Linked DNA regions of Sus scrofa. The protein of the gene in region 2 purifies or fractionates together with the protein of the main gene of each other region. This does not show direct contact. Links are inferred from orthologs where the notes say so. Each region holds a gene or a part of one and is shown on either strand. Other genes may lie near its edges.

Region 1 (7,616 bases), on a different chromosome or scaffold from region 2:
GGATCTCACATTGCTGTGGCTGTGGTGCAGGCCGGCGGCTGTAGCTCTGATTCGACCGCTAGCCTGGGAACTTCCACATGCCTCAGGTGTGGCCCTAAAAAGCAAAAAAAAAAAAAAAAAAAAAAAAATTGTGTTGTGGATTAATATTTAGTGACAATGGAAAACTATTAATTTTCATAGAATGTCTGCAAAATGAATAACAAACTGGGCAACAGAAAGCTCCTCCATAATACCCCAAAGTAAAAACCACACAGGCCATATTACCACAATGAAATTAAAATATATCGTAAGTAACTCTTGGGTAAAGAAATCAAAACTAAAATTTAAAAACATTTAGAAAACAGCAAGAATAAAACATCATTACATATCAAATATTATGGAATAATAGCTAAAATTCTTATCAGAAATAAATGTATGAGGTTAGAAAAACTACTCACATACCTAAAGAAAGCAGGAAATTAATCAATATAATTAAAAAGATCAATTTGGAAGGTTATCAAATTCTATATATCCACAGAAAACATACTCAAAACCTCACATTCATTGCTGAGGAATTTATAACAGTAAAACACTGACTTCAAATAAATGTCTAAAAAAGAAGCACTTGGTACCCTGGGTTTTTTTGACCTTTTGTTAAAATTAGTGGTTTTAATATTAAAAATACTGATTTTTAATATGGAAAATAAAAGCATTTAATATCTCTTAAAAAAAAAAAGAAGCACTTGGTTAAATACATTAGGCTATCTCCATATAGAGGAATTTAATGTAGATATTTTAAAAGTTATATTTGAGGAGCTTCTTTAGTGACGTGGGAGGAAACATGCCAAATTTTGTGAGTAAAAAAATTAAGCTTTAAAATATGACTATAAAGATGCAGATTAGAGTCATACAGTGAGGCTTAAAATTGTGTACAAAATTGTGGTCACATGTATTTTTGTAAAGGAGAAGATTTGTAACTTTCCTTAGATTCACAAAGATATCTGTGACCCTAAAAAGGTTAAATGCCATTAACAAACACCAAAATGGTATCATGGTGCTAATTTCTCAGGGGTAAGATCAAGAGGTTTTAACTTTCTTCTCTATGCTTTTCTTTACATTACTAAGTAAGTACACTATTTATTAATAAAAGGGAAATTTGGTTTTTATGATTACTTCTAGGATTTTTTTTTTATGGTCTCCCTCTCCCCATAAGCACACACACCCAAACACTCACATGCCCCAAAACACAGTATAGTAGAGTCTCAAACACAGAGCCACATCTAATTCTTGGAATTCTGCAAGTTATTCCAAAGAACTTAAGCAACTACAAGAGAGTGATATTCCTGAAATTTGGAAATATTTGCTTAAAAACATGTTTGTGGACTTGAGAGAAGAAATCCTGTGTATTACTGCCAGATCATCTTGCTATTCTAATTCAAAGTGATTCTAGATCTTGTTTTTTATTCCTTTTTATAGAAAATCTTCTGAATACAGGAAAATATATTACCACTAGGCTCTGAAGCTCTTGCATGCTAGGGTTATCTGTGGACTGGACACCAGTGTGAGGGTGACAAGAGTAAGTCTTGTGTTTCAGGTGTTAGTCATACTAACCAGTTCCAGCAGCAAATGAGGAAGCAGCAAAAGCATCACCCTGGGTTGGTTGAAAGCCTGGAATCAAACTCTCGGCTGAGCCACCAAGCTTCTCAGGATGTTTGCCTGGAGGAACAAAACACGACTCAGTGCATTCCAGCAGAATCCCAAGATACACACACATGCTGGAGGTGAAGGGCTCCTCCAAACTGACATCTAGGTGTGACCCCTTTTTTTTCGTTTTTGTCTTTTTAGGGCTGCACCTTTGCCACATGGAAGTTCCCAGGCTAGGGGTTGAATTGGAGCTGTAGCCACTGGCCACTGCCATGCCAGATCTTAGCTGCGTTTGCGACCTATACCACGGCTCTTGGCAACGCCGGGTCCTTAACTCACTGAGCGAGGCCAGGAATTGAACCCACATCCTTATGGATACTAGTGGGGTTATCAATGAGCCACAACGGGAATGCCTAGGCTTGACTCCTTTTATGCTTTGTGGCAACACCTTGGCTAGTCAAAGGTCCTTGTCTAATCACTGCAGTAACTGAGAAACAGCTGAGGAAAGAAAGGAAGTCTAAAGCCCTAGAGTTCAAGCATGTTATTCAGAGCAGAATGCCTCCAGCCTTCACTTTATCTCTACAGAATTCTAATGAGTTTGAGGATCTGTCGTCCATGCAGTTAAGAGAGCAAACGAGAAGAGAGATGGCAGTGGTGAGATGCTATAAGGGATGGGCACAGTGATAATGGCTTAATGTAAAAACCAAGAACAAGAAGAGAGACAGGAAATCATTAAAAATAGGCATAAGGGGAGTTCCCGTCGTGGCGCAGTGGTTAACGAATCCGACTGGGAACCATGAGGTTGCGGGTTCGGTCCCTGCCCTTGCTCAGTGGGTTAAGGATCCGGCGTTGCCGTGAGCTGTGGTGTAGGTTGCAGACACGGCTTGGATCCTGCGTTGCTGTGGCTCTGGCGTAGGCCGGTGGCTACAGCTCCGATTCAACCCCTAGCCTGGGAACCTCCATATGCCGCGGGAGTGGCCCAAGAAATAGCAACAACAACAACGACAAAAGACCAAAAAAAAAAAAAAAAAAAAAAAAGGCATAAGAATTGAAAAACTTGGGCATCACTTAATTGAGTGCAAAGTACTAATTTTCAATGGTCCATGAAGGTATTTCTGTTTATAGTCTAGAACAGTAACTGGTACACATAACAAAGTGAAAGGGATGTCAAAGAAAGTTAAAACCCATGCCCAATGAAGATTAAAAAAAAAAAAAAGGCAAGAAAGTATGTGGATTTTTAAAAGACATCTATAAAATAATAAAGCTAAACGTTTGGTCAAAGTTCCTATCAGTCACTCTGTTCTGAATGTTCCTTTACCCTGTGCTTTGGTCTATACCAAAACTGTAACATATTCTTTTTTTTTTTTCTTTTTGTCTTTTTGCCATTTCTAGAGCCGCTCCTTCGGCCTATGGAGGTTGCCAGGCTAGGGGTCTAATCGGAGCTGTAGCCGCCGGCCTACACCAGGGCCACAGCAAGGGAGCCAAGCCGCATCTGCAACCTACACCACAGCTCACGGCAACGCCGGATCCTTAACCCACTGAGCAAGGCCAGGGATCGAACCTGCAACCTCCTGGTTCCTAGTCAGATTCGTTAACCACTGCCATGACGGGAACTCCTACCATATTCTGAGCTGTGTCATACCGAAGAATTTTCCTAGGGTGTGTGCCCGGGAAAGCGTATCCTGCCTTCCAAATCAGACTGTGGGTTTGGGGGGCAGAAATGGTACCTTCTATTTATGGTCAGCCAGTAGTACCAGAGAATTCTGATCACAAAGACTCAGTGTCAACACGCGGGTGCACTCTCATGGGTAAGCAGTTATGACTTGCTGGGATAACAAACCCACCCAGGACAAGGTACCCCCCCGATTCCTGAAGGTGCTTGACACTGTCATCCTCTAGGCAACCAAGTCTTCCCTAAGGTTTCCCACTCTCCTTGCTGCCCCTTAGACCAGGGTTTCCCGAGGATGGAAAGACTCTGGTGCTCTAGGAAAAATACACACTGACTTGTGCACATACTTCAAAACCGAGTCTCTGAAAGAAAAGAAAGACCCGAGCCTTTACCTTTACATGGGTATCCCTCTAGTATTAAGGGTCAATAATCCCAAAAAGATACCAGTTGCTCACCTTCCCCCAGCTTGGCAAAGTCCTTGTTTAGCAGTTCTTCAGCTGTGAGTTTGGAGAAATTGTCGTCGTCAAAGGGGTTCCACGTAGAACCTTCTGAAGGATTATAAACGTTTTGCTGGGAGGCCCGAGGGGAGCCTGAAGGAGTGGTGGTTGCAGACCTAGGTAGGTTCCCACCCCCACGAAATAAAAAGACATATAAAGGTTGAAAAGGGTCAACCTATTTTCTCTGTGTTTCAAGATCAAGTTATTTTCTGAACCAAAACATTATTTTCCTCAGTACTTTTCTCAAAGGGCTTTCCATGGCAGTGGAAAAGTTTCCACAGACACCCTTTCCAGTGTGTGAAACAAATGCCTCCCTTTTTTCATGATTTGCTATTTCCCACTACTTCTTTCATCTTTTGCTCAGATTTTTGGTCTCATCAGTTTTTTTCAGTTCAGGATCCCAAAGCAACCTGCTCCTGGGCACATGCATCCTGTAGTGACGGCTGTAACATTCGCAACAACGGGCCCTAGAGGGGCTGGGGCTGAGGCCTATTCCCACTGGCTCACATCTGTCAGGGTCCAGCATGCACAAAATTAAGGACCACCATCAGTGGATACCATCACAGTTCAAGAGAAATAAAGACAGTTACCACTATCATGTGCCCCTAGGTATCACGACCTAATTTTTTTCTCAAGTCTCTCTTGATGCCCTTTGCATTGAGCCAATGACTTAAAAGATTTTTAACTTCAGTATATGGTTTTAGGAAACAGAGTCTGAAACTGCATTTACTCAACCAACACTCATTACCATCTACTTTATCTCAGGCATGGAGCCTGTCACTGGATTTCCAAAGGCTGATCAGGCCTCAGTGCTTGTTTTGGAAGAGCCCGCAGGCTAGGCCAGCGACACCTACAAATAACTAATGATAATACGGTGTGATACATGCTCAAAAAAGGGTTCAGATAAAATTGTGTATGATACCAGAGGAAGGGTCAAAGAAAAAATTAACCTCTGACATGGATGCTGATGAAGAAAGAAGGAATTCCTAGGTGGACAAGGAAAAGAGAGGCAGTTCCACGAATGTGACACATCAGGCCTTAGTCTGTTAACGGGTGAATTCAGATATTATTCTATAGGCAATGGGAAGCCAATGAAAGGCTTTCAGCATGGAGAGATTTGGTCACATCAAGAATTTAGAAGGCACTCTGTAGGTTATGGGCTGGATGAGAGAATGCAAAGAGTGAGGCAGGTAGGAAATTATTTCTTAAGATCAGTCAGATCTATGCACTATAGGAAAACTCGGTTTCTTATTAAACACAGACACACGCTATTACATACATGTCTACATATATATGCAAAACCCACATGGCAATGGCCCACGGCAGCCCTTGTCCACAAAATCAGTACATACTTGGACTTATTGAGACTGGCCTCAGCTGCAGCTGCCTGGAGCAGCTGGGTTGATTTGCTGGCAGGGACCCCGAAGACCGCACTGTGGGTCACGTCACTGAGAATCCGCCTGTGCCCAGCACGCTGGGCCTTGGGCGAGGATGGAGGAGTGAGAGATCCGAGTTTCTGCCCCTGGATGGCAGGAGGTGGCGTTGTCTGAACCTTTGGCTGTTGTCTTACCGGGGCCTGAATCTGCTAGGAAGAGAGATGAAAGTGTTCCAAAAAAGGGGGAGGGTGAGAGGAAAAACAATAAGCAGATAAGCATAACGAAAAATGCCACATATGATTCACTTGGCTCAGTTTATCAATAACCCCTAGAAAGAAAAAAAAAAAAACCTAGACTTTGACAATCTGAGCTGCAACCTGGAGACTGATACCAGCATGGTTATTTACCTGGTGCTTATAGATAAATTTCAATCTTTATCAGCAATAATACATAGGGTAACCATAGGCAACTCAACCCAGACCAAAGACTGCAGAAGTTATTTCTAGCTCTAAAGATTTAGAAAGTATCCTAAAAGGATCATCTGCTGCTTTAGGAACTCATTCAGAATGGTAGGCATTCTTCTACCACAGTCACAAGCAAATGAAGGCACATCTCTAGCTAAAATACAGCTGAGCTGAATGATTTCTGCTAAGAGATCCCCTACTTTCTGACAGAGCTCAGACTACTAGTTAGAAAAAAGTGAGACAGTATTTCTCTAAGATTAATAAATGGCAGTACTTTTTGGATTTTGTTAACACTATTTCATTGATAGGATGGGTATTACAAGATTCTATTTCTGTGGCACCCCTAAGGAAATGTACAGCTTTGGAGCAGGTGGATTAACCTGTTGCAAACTTCATTTTGGAAATGGCACCAAAGGACCAGGTAGAGAGTACAATAAGAAAGGAAGAAAAATAAAAGTCTTGGATCTAATAACATAAGAACTCTTGAGATGCAGGCCTTTTCCAGAAGGCAGGACACATGGTCACCACAGAAAAACAAACTGGATGGAAAATCCTCGTGGCCACATGGTGAGTTTTTAAGCATAAGTCATGATCTACAAAGTGCTATAGCAAGAAAAAAATAATATTACGAAGGCCACCTAACCCTTTTCTTTTTGTCTTTTTAGGGCCCCAACCACAGCATATGGAGGTTCCCAGGCTAGGGGTCCAGTCAGAGCTATAGCTGCCAGCCTGCGCCACAGCCACAGCAACACCAAATCCGAGCCGGGTCTGCGACCTATACCGCAGCTGACGGCAATGCCAGATCCTTAACCCACTGAGTGAGGCCAGGGATGGAACCCGTGTCCTCACGGATGCTAGTCAGATTCGGTTCTGCCGAGCCAAAACAGGAACTCCCCCTTTTCTTTTCTTTTTTCTTTTTTTTGAAATTTTATTTTTATTTATTTTTTTACAGAACAAAATACATATATTTAAACACAATTATATTCACACAGATTATTATATCATGGATCTTAAGAAACAGATTGACTCCCTCTGGAGAAGTAGAATGGAAAATATGCTGAGACAAATAGGAAATTTATGCTATACTTTATCCCATTTTGTATGGCTTTCATCTTTACTATTTAGTATTATCTATTACATTTCAATTTTTCTTTAAAAATTAGCATTATATTAAAATTGTGTATATTATGCAACTAAAATTTATAAAGAAGGAAGCCTTATATACCATTAAATATTTTACATAGCATAATAAAAAGAATAACTTAGCTGGTAAGAATAACAAAAATAATATACCCTCTGAAGATAAGTAAAATATAAAATGCATAAATTGGTTAAAAAACAGTGTAACTATATAAATATGTCCTCACAATTTGTTACATCTTATTGATTCTTCAATATAGGCATTACACCATTCTAGGTGATATATGATAAACAAGACATTAAAACCTTACATTGTACCATGGAGAGAAATGGTTATTAATAATACAGTTGTAGAACTGTATTATTTAATTGTACAGTTGCATTATTTAATTATAATTATCATAAATTCTTTGATGGAGAGGAAATCAGAATCAGTTCTAAGAAGACTTCAGCATTCCAAGAATGATGTCAAATGACCTCCTTCATGGTGGATTATGCACTTATTTACTATGAGATATATTTCTTCTCCAGAGATTCCTTGTTTGTGTATCAACTGTAGATTTTTGGTTTGTAGTTATTCCAAAGTTTTGATATACGCATCTATATGTATATGAGATTGCTTTAAGTTGTTCTCTTAATTGCAAGTTCATCTCCAGTATTCTGCATTTGTACCCACCTCTTCTCAGGATTTCTGATTTTGGTGGTATAACTGTGCATGGATGATTTCCTATCTTTACTGTATATATACCTTTACTGGTGGGCCTTGTCATTTGCGGAATTTTTGTTTCCTGTTGCTGTCTTTTCTTTTCTGCCTAGAGAAGTTCGTTTAGTATTTGTCGTAATGCTG
Region 2 (8,289 bases):
CACTCCCGCTGCCTCAGGGCCTTTGCACTTGCTGTTCCCTGGGCTTGGAATGTTCCTCTCAGAGAGCATCTCCTTTCCCTCCTCAGTTCCTTCAGGTCCTCCCTCAAATGTCCCCGTTTCAATGAAGGCTTCCTGGCCAAACCATTTACACCTGCATTCCACCTCCCCCTGCACACACCCCGGCAATTCCATCCTCCACCCCATCACTCATCACCATCTGCTACACGCCATCTTTACTAAGAGTTTCCCCCTGGCTAGAATGGGAGCTGTCAGCTCTCCGAGGGGAGGCACTGGTGTCTGCCACGTCCCTTGCTGTATCCCCAGTGCCTAGAATTGTGCTCCACTCACAGGAGGCCCTTGATAAATATTTGTTGACGTCTACAGGACAATCGGCCTGGTCTCTTGAACAGACTAATACTGCAGGAATTAAAGCTGGAGACATCTCAGTGAAGAGACCAAAGAGACGTGGCAACCACGGCAATGCAAGATCCTTGACTGGCATTGGACCATCATTTTTGTTTCGTTTTGTTTTGTTTGCCTTTTAGGGCCACACCTGCAGCATATGGACGTTCCCAGGCTATGGGTCGAATCTGAGCTGCAGCCACAGCCAGATCCAAGCCAAGTCTGTGACCTACACCATAGCTCACAGTAACACTGGATCCTTAACCCACTGAGCAAGGCCAGGAATCGAACCCGCATCCTTATAAAGAATAGTTAGGTTTGTTACTACTGAGCCATGACGGGAACTCCACATTTTAATAGTTTTAAAAAGGCACCAGAGGAGTTTTGTCGTGGCACAGAGGAAATGAATCTGACCAGGAACCATGAGGTTGCAAGTTCCTGTTGTGGCTCAGCAGTAACAAACCCACCTAGAATCCATGAGGATACAGGTTCCATCCCTGGCCTCACTCAGCGGGTTCAGAATCCAGTGTTGCCATGAGCTGTGGTGTAGGTTGCACATGTGGCTTGGATCTGGCGTTGCTGTGGCTGTAGCATAGACTGGCAGCTCTAGCTCCAATTCCACCCCTAGCCTGGGAACTTCCATATGCTGTGGGTGCAGCCCTAAAAAAAAAAAAAAACCCACAAGGTTGAGCAGGAAGGGTCAAAAGGAAGCAGGGGAGTGTGGGAGGCAGGGGGGAGGGTCCTATCACCTCCACAAAGTTGGTGTGTTTGGCATCTCGGACAGTGACCACGGCGTGCACTTCCTCAATCAGCTTCTGTTTCTCGTCATCATCAAACTGCATGTACCACTTGGCCAGGCGCGTCTTGCCTGCCCGGTTCTGGATGAGGATGAAGCGGATCTGGGGGCAGAGGGAGGAGGAGGAAGGGAGAGAGATGGGGAGGGTGGGCCAGTGCCAGGCGGCCCAGCCCAACAGCCCCACCCGCCCCCACAGGGGAGAGCAGGTCCACCCATCTCAGCCACTCCCCAGAGCCCAGCCAGGCTGGCCTGGCCGAAGGCTCTGGTCCCAAGTCCCTCCCACCACCCCCCACTCCCCCCACCCCCGTGGAGGGATTTCTCTTCCACTGGCGGACGTGCGCTGCGCTGAGTGCCAGGCTCTGCCAGTTCTTGTTCCCAGGACCCGGGACAAAAGATCTGCCCCTCTAAGCCTCAGTTTCCCCACTGGCGGAACAAGTTTCCTTAGAAGGTCCATCTTGTCAGGGTGTTTTGAAGGTTAAATAGGTTTATCAATTTAATCCAATGGCCGATGCTAGCAGGCATGCTCGGTGTCAGCTACAATTATCATCAGTGATGGCTAGGAAATGTGCTTTTGTGATTCTGAAGCGTCAGCTCAACTCTCCTCAGGTGACTATGAACACTGAACAAGTTCATGACAAAAGTGTTTAGTATAACGCTTACTGCTTACGGAGCTCTCGAGAAAATTAGCTATTATGACAGAGAGGCATTTGATCAAGTGGCTAAGAACTCAGGCTGGAGACTGTGCATGAATCCTGGCACTGCTGGCTGTGTGTCTGTGGGCAAATCACTGAACCTCTCTGGACCTCGATTTCCCCATCTGTATAATGGACATAATGAGAATACATCCCTCATAAGACTGTTGCACGAGTTAATAAATATAAGACTTAGGAGTTCCCGTGGTGGCGCAGTGGTTAACGAATCCGACTAGGAACCATGAGGTTGCGGGTTCGGTCCCTGCCCTTGCTCAGTGGGTTAACGATCCGGCGTTGCCGTGAGCTGTGGTGTAGGTTGCAGACGCGGCTCGGATCCCACGTTGCTGTGGCTCTGGTGTAGACCGGCAGCTACAGCTCCGATTGGACCCCTAGCCTGGGAACCTCCATATGCCGTGGGAGCGGCCCAAGAAATAGCAACAACAACAACAACAACAACAACAAAAAAAAAGACTTATAGTACCGTGATGAGTGCACATGAAGTGATATACAAATATTAGGTTGTTGGTTTTTTGGCCAAGACCACAGCCTGTGGAAGCTCCTGAACGAAGGACTTGAACCCTCGCCATGGAGGCAACCCAAGCCGCTGCAGTAATCACACCAGATCCTTAACCCACTGTGCCACAAGGGAACTCCCCAATATTAGTTCTTAGTAATATTATAATTGATTATCATTTGACTTTGAGAAGACCATGGCCCAAGTTTCATCCTGCTAGGAAGCCTGCCTTTGGGCCCCGTTCTGTTTGAGATGGGCACTCTTGTGCCCATTTGATAGATGAAGAAACTGAGGCTCAGAGAAAGGACGTCTCACAGCCAGAAAGCAGAGCTGGGAATCCAAGGGCTTTGCTTTGAACCCACTTCCCCTGACGTGTGTGTGGCAGCCTCCACCCTCTCATAGAGTCCATTCTCTTCCCTAAGCCTCATTCTCCACACACCATTCCTCCTTCCCCAACCAATCAAGCTGGATGGGAACAGGATATTATGGTCTCCTTTCAAGAACACTGTCTGCTGAGCCAGGGAAAACCACTTCCTAGCAAGGCAGGGGTCCTGGGAGACAGGGAGAGGGCACGGGGTGGAGGTGGGGGTACCCACACCAGGCAGCCACTGCCTGGGGCAGAGCCAGAGAAATATGGGGCACACTGAGGGCAGAGATAAAAGCAAGCCTGAAAAGCTGAGGGAGAGCTCTGCCTCTGACCCCCCCCCCAGTTCCCTCATGCACCTCTTCCTGTTTCTCCTCCCAATTAGAGTCTCCCCACTTCAGGGAATCCACCCTCAGAAGCCCTTTCCCTCCTGCACCCTCAACCCTCGGATGTCCCCGCTCTATGTCCCCCAACCTACTGTCTCCAAGCCCTTACCCTAGAGCTGTCCCCTTTCGACTTCCTCTTTCTCGGTTTCAATGCCCTCTGTCAGGTCTCCCCATCTCTGGGGAGGGGTACCAAATCCAGTGGCTTGTCCTTGCCCCCAAAGCCTCATCCCCATCTCTCGCACTCCTGTGCCTATTACCTACCCTCCGTGACCTCTTCCACTGCTCCCCACACATCTCTAGTATCCACTCCCTACGCCAAGCCTTCTCCCTTTTCTAGCACGCTTTCCCTAACTCTAAAGCCCCATTCCCTACAGTTGCCTACTTCCCGTTTCCAGTGTCCAGTCTCTTCCTCTTGAAATTCTGTCTCCTTCATCAGCAGTATCCCGCCCAGTTCCAACACCCCCTCTCCGTCTGCAGTGTCAGCTTCCTGCCTCTAGAGACCCCCGTCTCTCCCAGCCGAAGGTCTTCCATCCTTCTCCAACTATCCGGTCACACTCCCAGAGAGCTCTCTTCTTGGGATGCCCCCTCGCCACCTCCAATTCCTTCTCCCCACCTCGGAGATCCTTCTTCGTGAGTTGCCTGCCAGTTTCAAAACCCTTCAGCCACCTCCAATGTCCCCTCCCGCACAGACCCCTCCTCTTGTCATCCGGTCTCCAAAGCCCCCTAGCCTTGAGAGCCCCGTTACACTCTGGCGTCCAGAACCGCCGCCCAGTCCCCTTCCCCGGCCTTTGGTCGGCCCCAATCTCGAGAGCCCCCGCCTGGCCCAGACCATTGCACCGCGGCCGGGGGGGCTTGTCAGTATCCCACCGCGCCTCGAGTACCTGCACATGGACCCACCCTCTGCCCATCCCCAGTATGGGCGCGCCCCCGTTACCATGGCGACCCCCGTCCGACCCCAGCTTCTGGGAGGCCCCGGTCCCACGGCTTCTGGGAGGCTCGGGCTTTGGCGGCTGTTGGGGCACCCGGGGCTAGAGCGGACTTCCGGCAGAAGAACTCGCCCGCCCTCTCTCGCGCACAGCCGGCTGGGAATTGTAGTCCGAAGAAATGGGGTCGTTCGTCTGAGCGGCACGCCAGAGAAATGGGCCTGTCCCGCGTCCCAGCATGCTACGCGACTATCCTTTTCCTCGCGCAAGGTTCGGTCTCCAAATGCATTCTGGGAGCCGTGGGTGAATGTCTCCTGGCAGGACTACAATTCCCGAAATGCTGGACAGCCAGCAAGGCAAGGGTTGCACTCTAGGAAATGTAGTTCGGACAGCCTTCCTTCTCCCTCCCACCGCCCCCCCAACAAGGCAAGAAGGACGTACTGGGAATAGCTGTTTTAGCAGAACACTGTAAATTAATTGTATTTTAATAACAAACAAATAAATTAAAAATCAATCAATAAGAAACTACGTTGGGGGAGCATGGTCACCCAGTACTTTGTTTAGAATATGTTAAGCGACTTATGTGGGACAGTGGCTTAAGCGCATGAATTTGGAAGCCAGAACTGTATGCAAATCGTGCCTTTATTTCCTAGCTGTGTGACTCTGGGCCAGCAACTTCACCTCTTAACTCAACTTCTTTAACTGTAAAAGACGGTTGATCAAGGGGTCACCTCAGTAGAGTTGTTTTAAAGCATCCGTAAGTTTCCAAAGTACTTAGCCCAGTGCTGGACATATAGTATGTGTTATGTGTTTGTTTGTTTGTTAGGGCCACACCCTCCGTGTGTGGAAGTTTCCAGGCTAAGGGTTGAATAGTAGCTGCAGCTGCTGCCTGTGTCAGAGCCACAGCAACATAGGATCTCAGTCACATCTGCAACCTATACCACAGCTCACAGCCACTCCAGATCCTTAACCCACTGAGAAAGGCCAGGGACTGAACCCACATCCTCATGGATACTAGTCAGGTTCCTTACCACTGAGCCACAATGGGAATTGCCTTCCCCCATTTCTTTGATCGCTGACCTCTTTTCTTCCTTTGGCTTAAACATCACCTCCGCAGTCCTATATGGGGGAACCCAACATACGAAGTTCCCCTCTTCGACCCCCCACATTCTCTAGGTCAGCAGTTAGATTTCTTTAAAGCCTTTTTACAGCTGTTAATGATTTTATTTGGGGTGTGTGTCTCTGTGTGTGTGTTGCCTCCGTTGAGGGCAGGGAACCTGTTAACAATCTACATCCCCTAGAACATGGTGGCACATAGTAAGCATTCAGTAAAGGGATGGATACTGAGGGGAGACTTGCTCTAAGAAAGCAAGGTAAATTAGGAGTTCCGTCGTGGTTCAGAGGTAACAAACCCAACTAGTATCCATGAGGACGCAGGTTTGATCCCTAGCCTCGTTCAGTGGATTAAGGATCCTGCCATGAGCTGTGGTGTAGGTGGCAGACGAGGCTCGGATCTGGTGTTGCTGTGGCTGTGGTGTAGGCCAGAAGCTGCAGCTCTGATTCAACCCCTAGCCTGGGATCCTCCATATGCCGCGGGTGCGGCCCTAGAAAATACAAAAAAAAAAAAAAAAAAGGATATCAGCTGGGGAGTTCCCTTGTGGCCTAGTGATTGAGGACCTGGTTGCTGCTGTGGCTCAGGTTGGATCCCTCATGCCTTGGGTGCAGCCCCCCCTCCCAAAAAAAAAAAAAAGAAAAAGAAAGAAAAAAAAGAGAAAGATGTCAGCTGGGAATGCAGTCATTTGAAGGCTCAATTGGGGCTGAAGGATCTGACTCCCAGGTGGCTCACTCGTAGGGTGTGTTGATTAATGCTGGCTGTTGGCAGGACTCTGTTCCTCACCAGGTGGCCCTCTCCCCAAGGACACAGAGTGTCCTCATGCGGCAGCTATTTTCCCCCAGAGTGAATGACCCATGAAAGGGCAGGGCAGAAGCTGCCTGCAATGTCTTTTATGACCTGGCCAAAGTCACACCCTGTCATTTCCACAATATCTTATCAGTACACAGAACTGCCCTGTCCAAGGTGGGAGGGGACTTGAACACCAGGTGAGAACAGCAGCGGTCCCTCTCGGAGGCCTGGCTACCACAACTGCTTATAGCAGAGACACCTGGCCCAGCTGAAGAGTTGGGGACAGAGTTAGACTGAGTGTCCCAGCAGGAAAATAGACTTTGTCTCTGCTCTTAAGAGTCACATGGCTTGGGAGTTCCCACTGTGGCTCAGTGGGTTAAGAACCTGACTAGTATCCATGAAGATGCGGGTTTGATCCCTGGCCTCCCTCAGTGGGTTAAAGGATCCAGTGTTGCCTTGAGCTGGTGTAGGTCGCAGATGCAGCTTGGATCCCATGTTGCTGTGGCTGTGGTATAGGTCGGCAGCTGCAGCTCTGATTCAATCTCTAGCCCTGGAACTTCCAGATATCACAGGTGCAGCCCTAAATAGAAAAAGGAGTCTCATGGCCCAGATGGTTTGGAGTCTGAGGTGTTATTCCACAACTTGAGACAGAAAAGACCAGTCCCAGCACTTCCAATTAAAAAAAGATGGACAGGGAGTTCCCTGGTGGTCTAGCAGTTAGAATTCGGCACTTTCACTGCTGCAGTGGCCTGGTTCAGTTCCTGGTCTGGGAAGTGAAATCCCACATCAAAGCTGCTGCATGCAGTGGTGGGAAAAAAAAAAAAAAACGAAAAAACGAGAGAGATGGACAATATCAAGTGTATTTGGGAAAACGTGGAGCAGCTGAAATTCTTTTTTTTTTTTTTTTTGTCTTTTTGTCTCTTTTAGGGCCGCACCTGTGGCACATGGAGATTCCCAGGCTAGGGGTCGAATCAGAGCTGTAGCTGTCAGCCTACACCACAGCCACAGCAATGCCAGATCCAAGCCGAGTCTGTGACCTAAACCACAGCCCACAGCATTGCCGGATCTTTTTTTTTTTTTTTTTTTTTTTTGTCTTTTTGCCATTTCTTGGGCCACTCCCTTAGCATATGGAGGTTCCCAGGCTAGGGGTCCAATCGGAGCTGTAGCCACCGGCCTACGCCAGAGCCACAGCAACGCGGGATCCAAGCCGTGTCTGCAACCTACACCACAGCTCACAGCAACGCCGGATCGTTAACCCACTGAACAAGGGCAGGGATTGAACCCGCCACCTCATGGTTCCTAGTGGGATTCATTAACCACTGCGCCACAATGGGAACTCCTGCCGGATCCTTTAACCCACTGAGCAAGGCCAGGGACTGAACCCACATCCTCATGGATGTTGGTTGGGTTCATTAACTGCTGAGCCACGATGGGAAGGCTTTTTTTTTTCTTCTATCTTTCTTTCTTTTTCTTTTCCAGAGCCGCACCCACGGCATATGGGTCTAATCAGAGCTGTAGCCGCCAGCCTACCACAGCCACAGCAACGCAGGATCCTTAACCCACTGAGCGAGGCCAGAGGTCGAACCCACAACGTCATGGTTCCTAGTCAAATTCATTAACCACTGAGCCACGATAGGAACTCCTGAAATTCTTATACATGGCTTTGGGGATGTCTCCAGGGATGTGAATAGGTACATCCACTTTGGGAACCTGGCTGGGGAAGGAGTACATGTGCATCCCATGTGACCAGCAATTTCGCTCTTAGGTACTAGCGAAATACCTAGCAGAAATGAGTACAAATATTTATCAAAACACATGTTCGGGACTGTTCATAGCAGCGATATTACCTTCTTTTTTTTCTTTTCCTCTCTCTCCCTTTTTTTTCCCCCTTTTTCTTTCTTTCTTTCTTCCTTTCTTCCTTCCTTCCTTCCTTCCTTCCTTCCTTCCTTCCTTCCTTTCTTTCTTTCTTTCTTTCTTTCTTTCTTTCTTTCTTTCTTTCTTTCTTTCTTTCTTTCTTTCTTTCTTTCTTTCTTTCTGCTACATCCACAGCGTGGGGAAGGATGGAACCCACACCACAGCTGGGCAATGCCAGATCCTTAACCTGTTGCACCACCAGGGAACTCCAGGAACACTACTCATAATAGCCAAAAAGTAGAAACTACCCAGGTGCTCAGCAGCAGTAAAACGGATATCTACACCGAGGTTCCTTCACACAGTGGAATACTACACAGCAGTGAGAATGAACCATCTACATCTACACAAAGGAAGGTGGATAAATCCGACAAACTATGTTGATCAAAGGAAGTCAC
Region 3 (7,616 bases), on a different chromosome or scaffold from region 2:
AATATATGCATAGATATTTGCTTATTTAACTATTATTTGAATAAAACATGGTAATACTCTCCAATAGTCATCTTAGCAACATACAGACACAGCATAAGGACAGAAATCTTAGCAGAAGATTCAGCAGGAAAGAATACGAAATAATCACGCTAACCAAGACAGCTACCCTTTCCTTGTCTAAGGAACTACTTAGTTTCTTATTGTCTGCTCAAATATCCCTTATATTCTTAGAGCCAAACATTTAACCCCAGTTCTCACCTCCCACTGACTTAGGCCTAAGCAGGGATGTTTGCTTACAGATCACCTTTTAATATGTTACAGAACGAGATACTCAACATATAATCCTTGGTAAGGATTTACCTAAACCAGAAGTAATATCAGTAAAGTAGCACTGAGGCACCAAGTGTGGCTGGAGCAGTGCTGCCACGGAAAGTTCTGTGTTCCCAACTCCTATTGGTTGCGTATAGTCATTTCTACTCATCCGACAGTCACCGCTGTGCTGTTCCATATACACCCATCTCCCTCAACGCATCGGTTCAGGAGACTGGGGTGTAACAAGTCTTATACACTTTCACAGATACCCAATCCCATAGCATCTGAACTGTGGTATGCAAAATGATTTTGATGATAACTCAACTTTTTTTTTTTTCCAGCTGCCCCTGCGGCATACAGAAGTTTACGGGCCAGGGATCAAATCTGAGCCAGAGCTGTGACCTACACCACAGTTTCAACAACACTGGATCCTTAACCCACTGTGCAGGACCAGGAAATGAACTGGTATGCCTTCAGAGACAAGCCAGATCATTAACCCACTGCACCTGATAACTCGACTTTTTCATTTTAAAGTTACACAGAAATTAGAAAATGCACTTATCTAACACATCACCTCTGTGATTTCATCAATATCACTGAAGATGAGATTAAGTAGGCAGTGCTATGATAATTCACATAACTTAAAGGACTCAGCACCTTGCATGCCGACGTGTGCCTCAAATCTTTACTCAACTTCCTTCACAACTAATCAGAATTTTAGACAATACATAAGCTACAGGACACTGGACTGAATTCTCTCATCTCACACAGGATTTCCAAGTCATGGCTCCATTCTCATCAGAGACACAATTGTGCTTCCAGAGGCCGGTAATCCTTTAGAATACGAAGTATACGTGAGTGAATATGTTGTATCAGAGAAAAGAGTTTAATATCTTCGTGTTTTCCAATTACATACATGGGATGTAACTGACATTTTTTATTCTAGTTAACATCAAAAGTAAAAAAAAAAAAAAAAATCAATCATCTAATTAGTACAGTAGCCTCATCAGTATCCCTAAGACACTTACTTATAGGTATGTCTTTTTTGTAAATTTATCAGATTGCTACTTGTATTTCACAGATTATATTTTAGTGGCTTTGTTGAAAATGTATAATACTTAGTATTATTTACAACAATGCTATTGATCTATTAAAGAAAGGAGTGGGATCCTGCTGTAGAGCACAGGGAACCATGTCCAACCACTTGTGATGGAACATGATGGAGGATAATGCAAGAAAAAGAATGCGTATATATGTACAACTGGGTCACTTTGCAGAAATTGACAGAACACTGTACATCAACTGTGATAAAAAATTGTTTTAAAGAAAAGAGTGTTAGGTGGATAAATAAAAAAATCTTAACTAGAGTAGGCAAATAAAGAGTCTGGCGAACACTGATTTGGATCTTTAAACCAGCCTCTGATTTTCTGCCCTGCTTCCCTTAAAGGCACACCTGTCCTAATCCACGCACATCACTTGTGACCTAGGAAAGCTCCTCAATAAACCTGTCTTTTCCCTCTTCCTTCCCTCTCTCCTTCAATCCCCCAGCCCTTTCTTGGTCACACAGACGAACACAGGATGGGTGGCCTACTGCAGCACCTGTACACTCTAGCCTCTCTTGACACACTCAGTGAACACTAGGCCATCAACAGTGCTCTTCTGCACACTCGACTTGGCCGAAGCCTGTAAACACCCTCTCCCTGCTGTGTTTCATATCCTAAGATAGTGCTGTCTGAGAATTTCTTTAGTGTTCTAATCACTGAAGCTCTAACAGCTACTTCCCCCTACGTATCTAAAAATACCAGCAAGGATTCATAATGATAAATAGATTCTTAATTACAAAGTCCTAAAGCATTCTTCACAATAAATCTAGCTTGAAAAAACCTACATCACAATTCTTTAACTTACTGTAATGTTTTCAATATGAACTATCCATGAAAAATAACTCTAACTAATGTATGCGAATAACCAAAATAGACTATATGCTAACATATACGCTTGCAGTATTATATCATCTTTAAAAAGAGCCAAGCAGAGTTCCCGCTGTGGCACAGTGGTTGATGAGTCCGACTAGGAACCATGCAGGTTCGATCCCTGCCCTTGCTCAGTGGGTTGAGGATCCAGCGTTGCCATGAGCTGTGGTGTAGGTTGCAGACGTGGCTTGGATCCCGCGTTGCTGTGGCTCTGGCATAGGCCGGTGGCTACAGCTCCGATTAGACACCTAGCCTGGGAATCTCCATATGCCATGGGAACGGCCCTAGAGAAGGCAAAAAGACAAACAAACAAACAAAAAAAGAGCCAAGGGACTCACTAAAACTTTTTTATATTTGTTTAAATTAAACTAAATTAGCCAATCTCTGAGTATTATACCATCAAATTAACTGGAAGTAATAACATGTAAGTAGAAAAAGTTAAATTAACTGTCTACGGGAATTTTTTTTTTAATGACTAAAGTAGTTTGTTAGGGTTTTGTTTCTACTGAAATCACAAAGAATGTCTTAAAACACATAAGCTAATGCTTTTCTTAGCCTGAAATGCTGCTAGATGTTGCTAAGCCTCATCTGCAAATAACGAACAGCAGAATTAAGTGACAGAAGTGGAAAGAGGGATGGAGCTGCAGAGACCAGAAGAGGGGACCAGTAAGAGAAAAGGGGCGCTATACAGGAAGGTGGGCTCCAAGGCAACCCCGGAGCCCTCGGCAGCTCCACTTCAAGTGAACACCCTTCCTGTGCGCTCAATGCACAAATACTTGCCTATTGGCACAATGAGAGGAGTCCATTACGGTTCCAACCTGAGCTGGGAGTGACGACGTGTAGGACACCAAGGCTGGTGAGAACTCTTGAGGGGAGGTGAGATACTCTGGTGATGCCTGCTGTGGAGACTGCTGACGTTGAGCGAGCATTTGCTGCTGCAGGAAAGCCTGCTGATACTGCTGCATCTGAAACAAAAAATGTCATCATACCAAACAACGCTCAAGGTCAAAGAAGCCCTGTCAGCAGCACATCTGTTTACCATTCTCCTTCCTTTTCCTTTGGCAACAAAATCAGAAACCTGAAAAACAATTTTTATCTGAAGGAGCAGCTTGCTACTAGAAAACCACAGCAAGACAAAATCAACCTATTTAAGAAGTTGTTTAGGAGTTCCTTCTGTGGAGCAGCGGGTTAAGGATCTGGTGTCATCTTTACAGCAACACGGGTTCAATGCGTGGCACAGTGGGTTAAGGATCTGGTCTTGCCGTAGCTGTGGAGTAGGTCACAGCTATGGCTGGGACTCAGTTCCTGACCTGCAAACTTCCACATGCCACAGGTACAGCCAAGAAAAAAAAGGAAGTTGTTTAACTGGACTTATTGTGGTGATCATTTTATAATATACACAAACACTGAATTATTATGTTATACATATATATAATTTTGTCAATTATGTCTCAATTTAAAAAAAAATTTTTAATTTAAAAAAAAGGTTGTGGAGTTTCCTAGTGGCTCAGCACGTTAAGGATATGGCACTATCACTGCTGCGGCTCGAGTTCAGTCCCTGACCAGGGAACTTCTGCATGCCACAGGTATAGCAAAAACAAACAAAAACAAAAAACAAACGAACAAAAACCTGCAATGTTAGGCTCACCTGGCAGGATTCAAAAATCCTCCTTTAAACAGTTTAAGAAAAAAAAATAGAGTAGCTTAAAGTCACTTGGTACAGTGGCTACTGTAAAAAAGGTCAAACTATTTTCTGAAGTAAATACGATTTTCCTTTAGGTTGCTTTCCTTTTTTTTTTTTTAACTCAATAGACGTTTGCCAAATGGAGACATATGACAAAAGATCCTGGATAATCAATCATTTCCTCATAACGTGAGAGAAGAGAAACATACTATCAGCCAGTTACGACGTGCCAAGTCCACGTGCTGTATTGCTCAGTCCAATTTAAACTGGCTTGAGAATGCGTGACCGGCTTTGATAAAATACATGTTAATGAACTAGCTTGAGCTGACTTTATTAAATTCTGAATAATATCATTCATACTGTGAATTCCAACACTGGAATGTGTACTCAGAGAGAACGCTAGAAACTATATAAAACTTACCATTGCGGGATAAGGCGATGCAGACGCTTGTGGCTGATACACCGAATGCATTAAAAACTGCTGTTGCAGTATCTGCTGCTGTTGCACTGCATGCTGGTACTACAATTAGAAAAACAAATTCATCGATACTACTCATGCCTTTTTTGTGCCATGGCCTTTTCTTATTTAAAGTATTGACCGTAACATAACAACAACGTGGGTATTCAAACGTCCAAGCACTAACGTGAAAGACCTACAGTCAATAAGCGACTACAACTTAAATCTGCATTTTGGAAATGGTTTCAAAATTATCAATGAAACATAAACTAAAACCATGTCCAGCACAGTTTACGGATGTCTGGGAGAAACCTAAACCTGCCACACAGCTGATGAAGACCCTCAAAGTTAATTGTGTCCGGGAATCACCGCGGTCAATGATGCCCTGCTCTCCTTCAGCGCTATCTCCCGGCCCTGCAGTGGCACCAGAGGAAAGGCACACCCATGACAAGTGTCAGGTATCAACTGATTCAAAACTACTTCGGGCCATGATGAAGGCATGAGGACGAGAGTCACTAAATTTAACACATTTTAGTGAAACCAGAAATGGGCAGGCTCTGATGCAGCAAAGGACAAAATCAAATGTAAGGTCATTATTTCTAGTCTCTTCCAACTCTAAATGCCACCCTTACACACACACACACACACACACACACTCAACACAGGCTAAAAAAGAGAAATTTTTAAAAAAGAACAAAAACCTACGACAGTATTACTTCTGAAGGTCTAATATCACCTTTCCAACAATAACATTATTGGTCTATATATCTGAACTCAAAGCATAACCTGAAAAAGGTAATATTCCTCATAAGCTGCAGGACACCTGTGAGGCCAGGTGACAGGATGAACATTCTTTGCTTCACGAAGCTGTGAGGCAACCTGTTTCAATAGGGTATCTCACAGAATGCAAATAAAATGCATATTCTTTCATAATCAGGAAACTGAGCAAAATGTTTATTTCAGTCTGGAGTTCAAGGTAGAATTTATGATACAAAAAGGAATTCACTAATATTCAAGAGCTGCCTAGATCTCACAATCCATGTATCTTAGTAACCAAAGAGTTACCTGCTGCATATAAGCATCCTGAAGTAGCTGCTGCTGCTGCTGCTGCTGCTGGTGAGGATGACGATGCTGCAAATGAAGTTGCTGCAATCTCCAATCTCCCTGCTGTAGTTGCTGAAGTACCCTATGCTGCTGCGGAGGCTGCTGAGTGGGCCCCTGACCCAATAAGCTCTCAGGGCTGTTTCCAGGTCTCAGGGCTCCTGAAAAAAGGTTCCAAAAACTTGTATTCACACACTGATGATTTCAATAAAATGGCTGGATTTCAAAACATCATTTCAATAATCACTAACCAAGGCACTCATATCCTTATGGTATAGAAACTTTCATGTACATATAGTCTAAAGGGATTATTTACTATAGTTATAAGTACCCGTGAAAGTTGATTTTGTCAACTACAACTCACGAACAAGTCATTTCATCTTTCATGCTTCATTTCTCGACCCATGATACACCAGCATGGGTCTGTGTCTTTGATGACATGATTCTCTGTCTGGAATGCCACTTTCTACCCATCGCCAATCTTCTTGTCCTTTCAAGTTCAGCTCAAATCTCTTTTTCCTTCACCTAACACTTCCACTCAGCTTGTAACATCTTACTCCGCCTTGCACATGTTAATTGTTTACATGGCTTCTTCGGAACAACAGCCCCTAAGGGATGGGGTAAAGACTTATTTATTTGTTAGGGCTCCAAAGAACGTTTTATAACAGATGTTCAAGAAATGTTACTATAGCGAATCCATTAACACTTTGTCCTAAATGGGTATTTATTTATAAGCTTTATAAATTTGACCACAGGAGTTCCCGTCGTGGCTCAGTGGTTAACAAATCCGACTAGGAACCATGAGGTTGCGGGTTCGATCCCTGGCCTTGCTCAGTGGGTTAAGGATCCGGCGTTGCCCTGAGCTGTGGTGTAGGTTGCAGATGCGGCTCGGATCCCGCGTTGCTGTGGCTCTGCCGTAGGCCGGTGGCTACAGCTCCGATTCGACCCCCAGCCTGAGAACCTCCATATGCCGCAGGAGCGGCCCAAGAAATGGCAAAAAGACCAAAAAAAAAAAAAAAAAATTAATTTGACCACAGGAAAATCCTATGAATAAACTTTTGAAATACATGAGAACGGATGAGACACACAACACCAAAAAGAAGAAATACACTGTAATTTCTATATTCTCTTTGAACCAGCTACTGTAATTCAAATATGACTATTTAACCTGAAGGGGAGAAAAGGAGGGAGAGAACAAGGAGGGCGAGCAGGACTCTTTTTCATCAATTTCATGTCTTCATCCCTCCACAGGCCTTGAATACACACCTTTGTGAAAATCTTTTTATAACTTTTTCTAATTCTTCCAATTATAAGAAAACCCATGTTCATTTTAATTATTCTTGACAATATTTACTAAAATATAAGGAAGAAAATGAAAACCCTAATTCCTCCACACAGCATAGCCACCATTTGCCTTTGGGTATCTTTCTTTGCAGGTGGAAGGAGTTAAAAAGCTCAGGTCCTCAGCTATACATGCATCCTGTAAGGCCCTGATGCCCAGCTGGAGAACACTGTGGCGGCAGGTGACGCCCAAACACACACGGATGATGCACTAACTCCAGGAGCTCACCTCTACCCTCACGAACTGCGGCTTCTCGCTAGTGTTATCAAGGTGAGCAGTGCTCCCTGGTTCTCCACAGAATATGCCAGAGAGCCCCAGACAGCATCAAAGCTGCCCTGCATGAACACAACGCCTTCGAGCACAGCACTGCATCCTCACACCACTACTGGTCCCCATCTTGCTAACAATGAAACTAAGGCCCAGAGAAGTTAAGTGAATTCACAAGTAAAGCTAAAGGCAAATGATAAACTGAAAGAACGCACTTACAATGTATTTGGCAAAGAAATAAGATTCAGAATACATAAAAGTAAAATCTTCAGAGCGATAAAAAATAGAGACAAATTCACAGAAAACTGCAAAAGGAATATTAAAATAAAACCAAAAACGTTTCACCTTTCAGTAGGGAAACACTTTTAAAAATCAGTATTATCAACTGTTGACAAGAACAGGAATGAAAAGACTCACGCTGTTGTTGGCAGCAGAGGATAGACTTTGGAAGTCCTCTTTAGATGGCAATTTGGCAAGTAT

The links. The genes of interacting proteins can lie anywhere in the genome.
Region 1: the proteins of AP2S1 (region 2) and AAK1 purify together in Homo sapiens (affinity purification with mass spectrometry; 4 studies listed by BioGRID and IntAct, counting the BioPlex papers as one, with this or other methods). This does not show direct contact. The link is inferred for Sus scrofa from reciprocal best matches to the Homo sapiens genes AP2S1 and AAK1.
Region 3: the proteins of AP2S1 (region 2) and BMP2K purify together in Homo sapiens (affinity purification with mass spectrometry; 4 studies listed by BioGRID and IntAct, counting the BioPlex papers as one, with this or other methods). This does not show direct contact. The link is inferred for Sus scrofa from reciprocal best matches to the Homo sapiens genes AP2S1 and BMP2K.

Annotation. Positions count from the first base shown.
Region 1 is NC_010445.4:72,923,930-72,931,545, reverse strand, and holds part of AAK1 (AP2-associated protein kinase 1), read right to left. Parts: intron 5,375-7,616; coding exon 5,142-5,374; intron 3,924-5,141; coding exon 3,748-3,923; intron 1,696-3,747; coding exon 1,591-1,695; intron 1-1,590.
Region 2 is NC_010448.4:52,698,954-52,707,242, forward strand, and holds the start of AP2S1 (AP-2 complex subunit sigma), read right to left. Parts: upstream 4,246-8,289; 5' UTR 4,092-4,245; coding exon 4,089-4,091; intron 1,302-4,088; coding exon 1,152-1,301; intron 1-1,151. UniProt on the Homo sapiens protein: Component of the adaptor protein complex 2 (AP-2). Adaptor protein complexes function in protein transport via transport vesicles in different membrane traffic pathways.
Region 3 is NC_010450.4:138,701,398-138,709,013, forward strand, and holds part of BMP2K (BMP-2-inducible protein kinase), read right to left. Parts: intron 5,689-7,616; coding exon 5,492-5,688; intron 4,490-5,491; coding exon 4,391-4,489; intron 3,251-4,390; coding exon 3,066-3,250; intron 1-3,065. UniProt on the Homo sapiens protein: May be involved in osteoblast differentiation.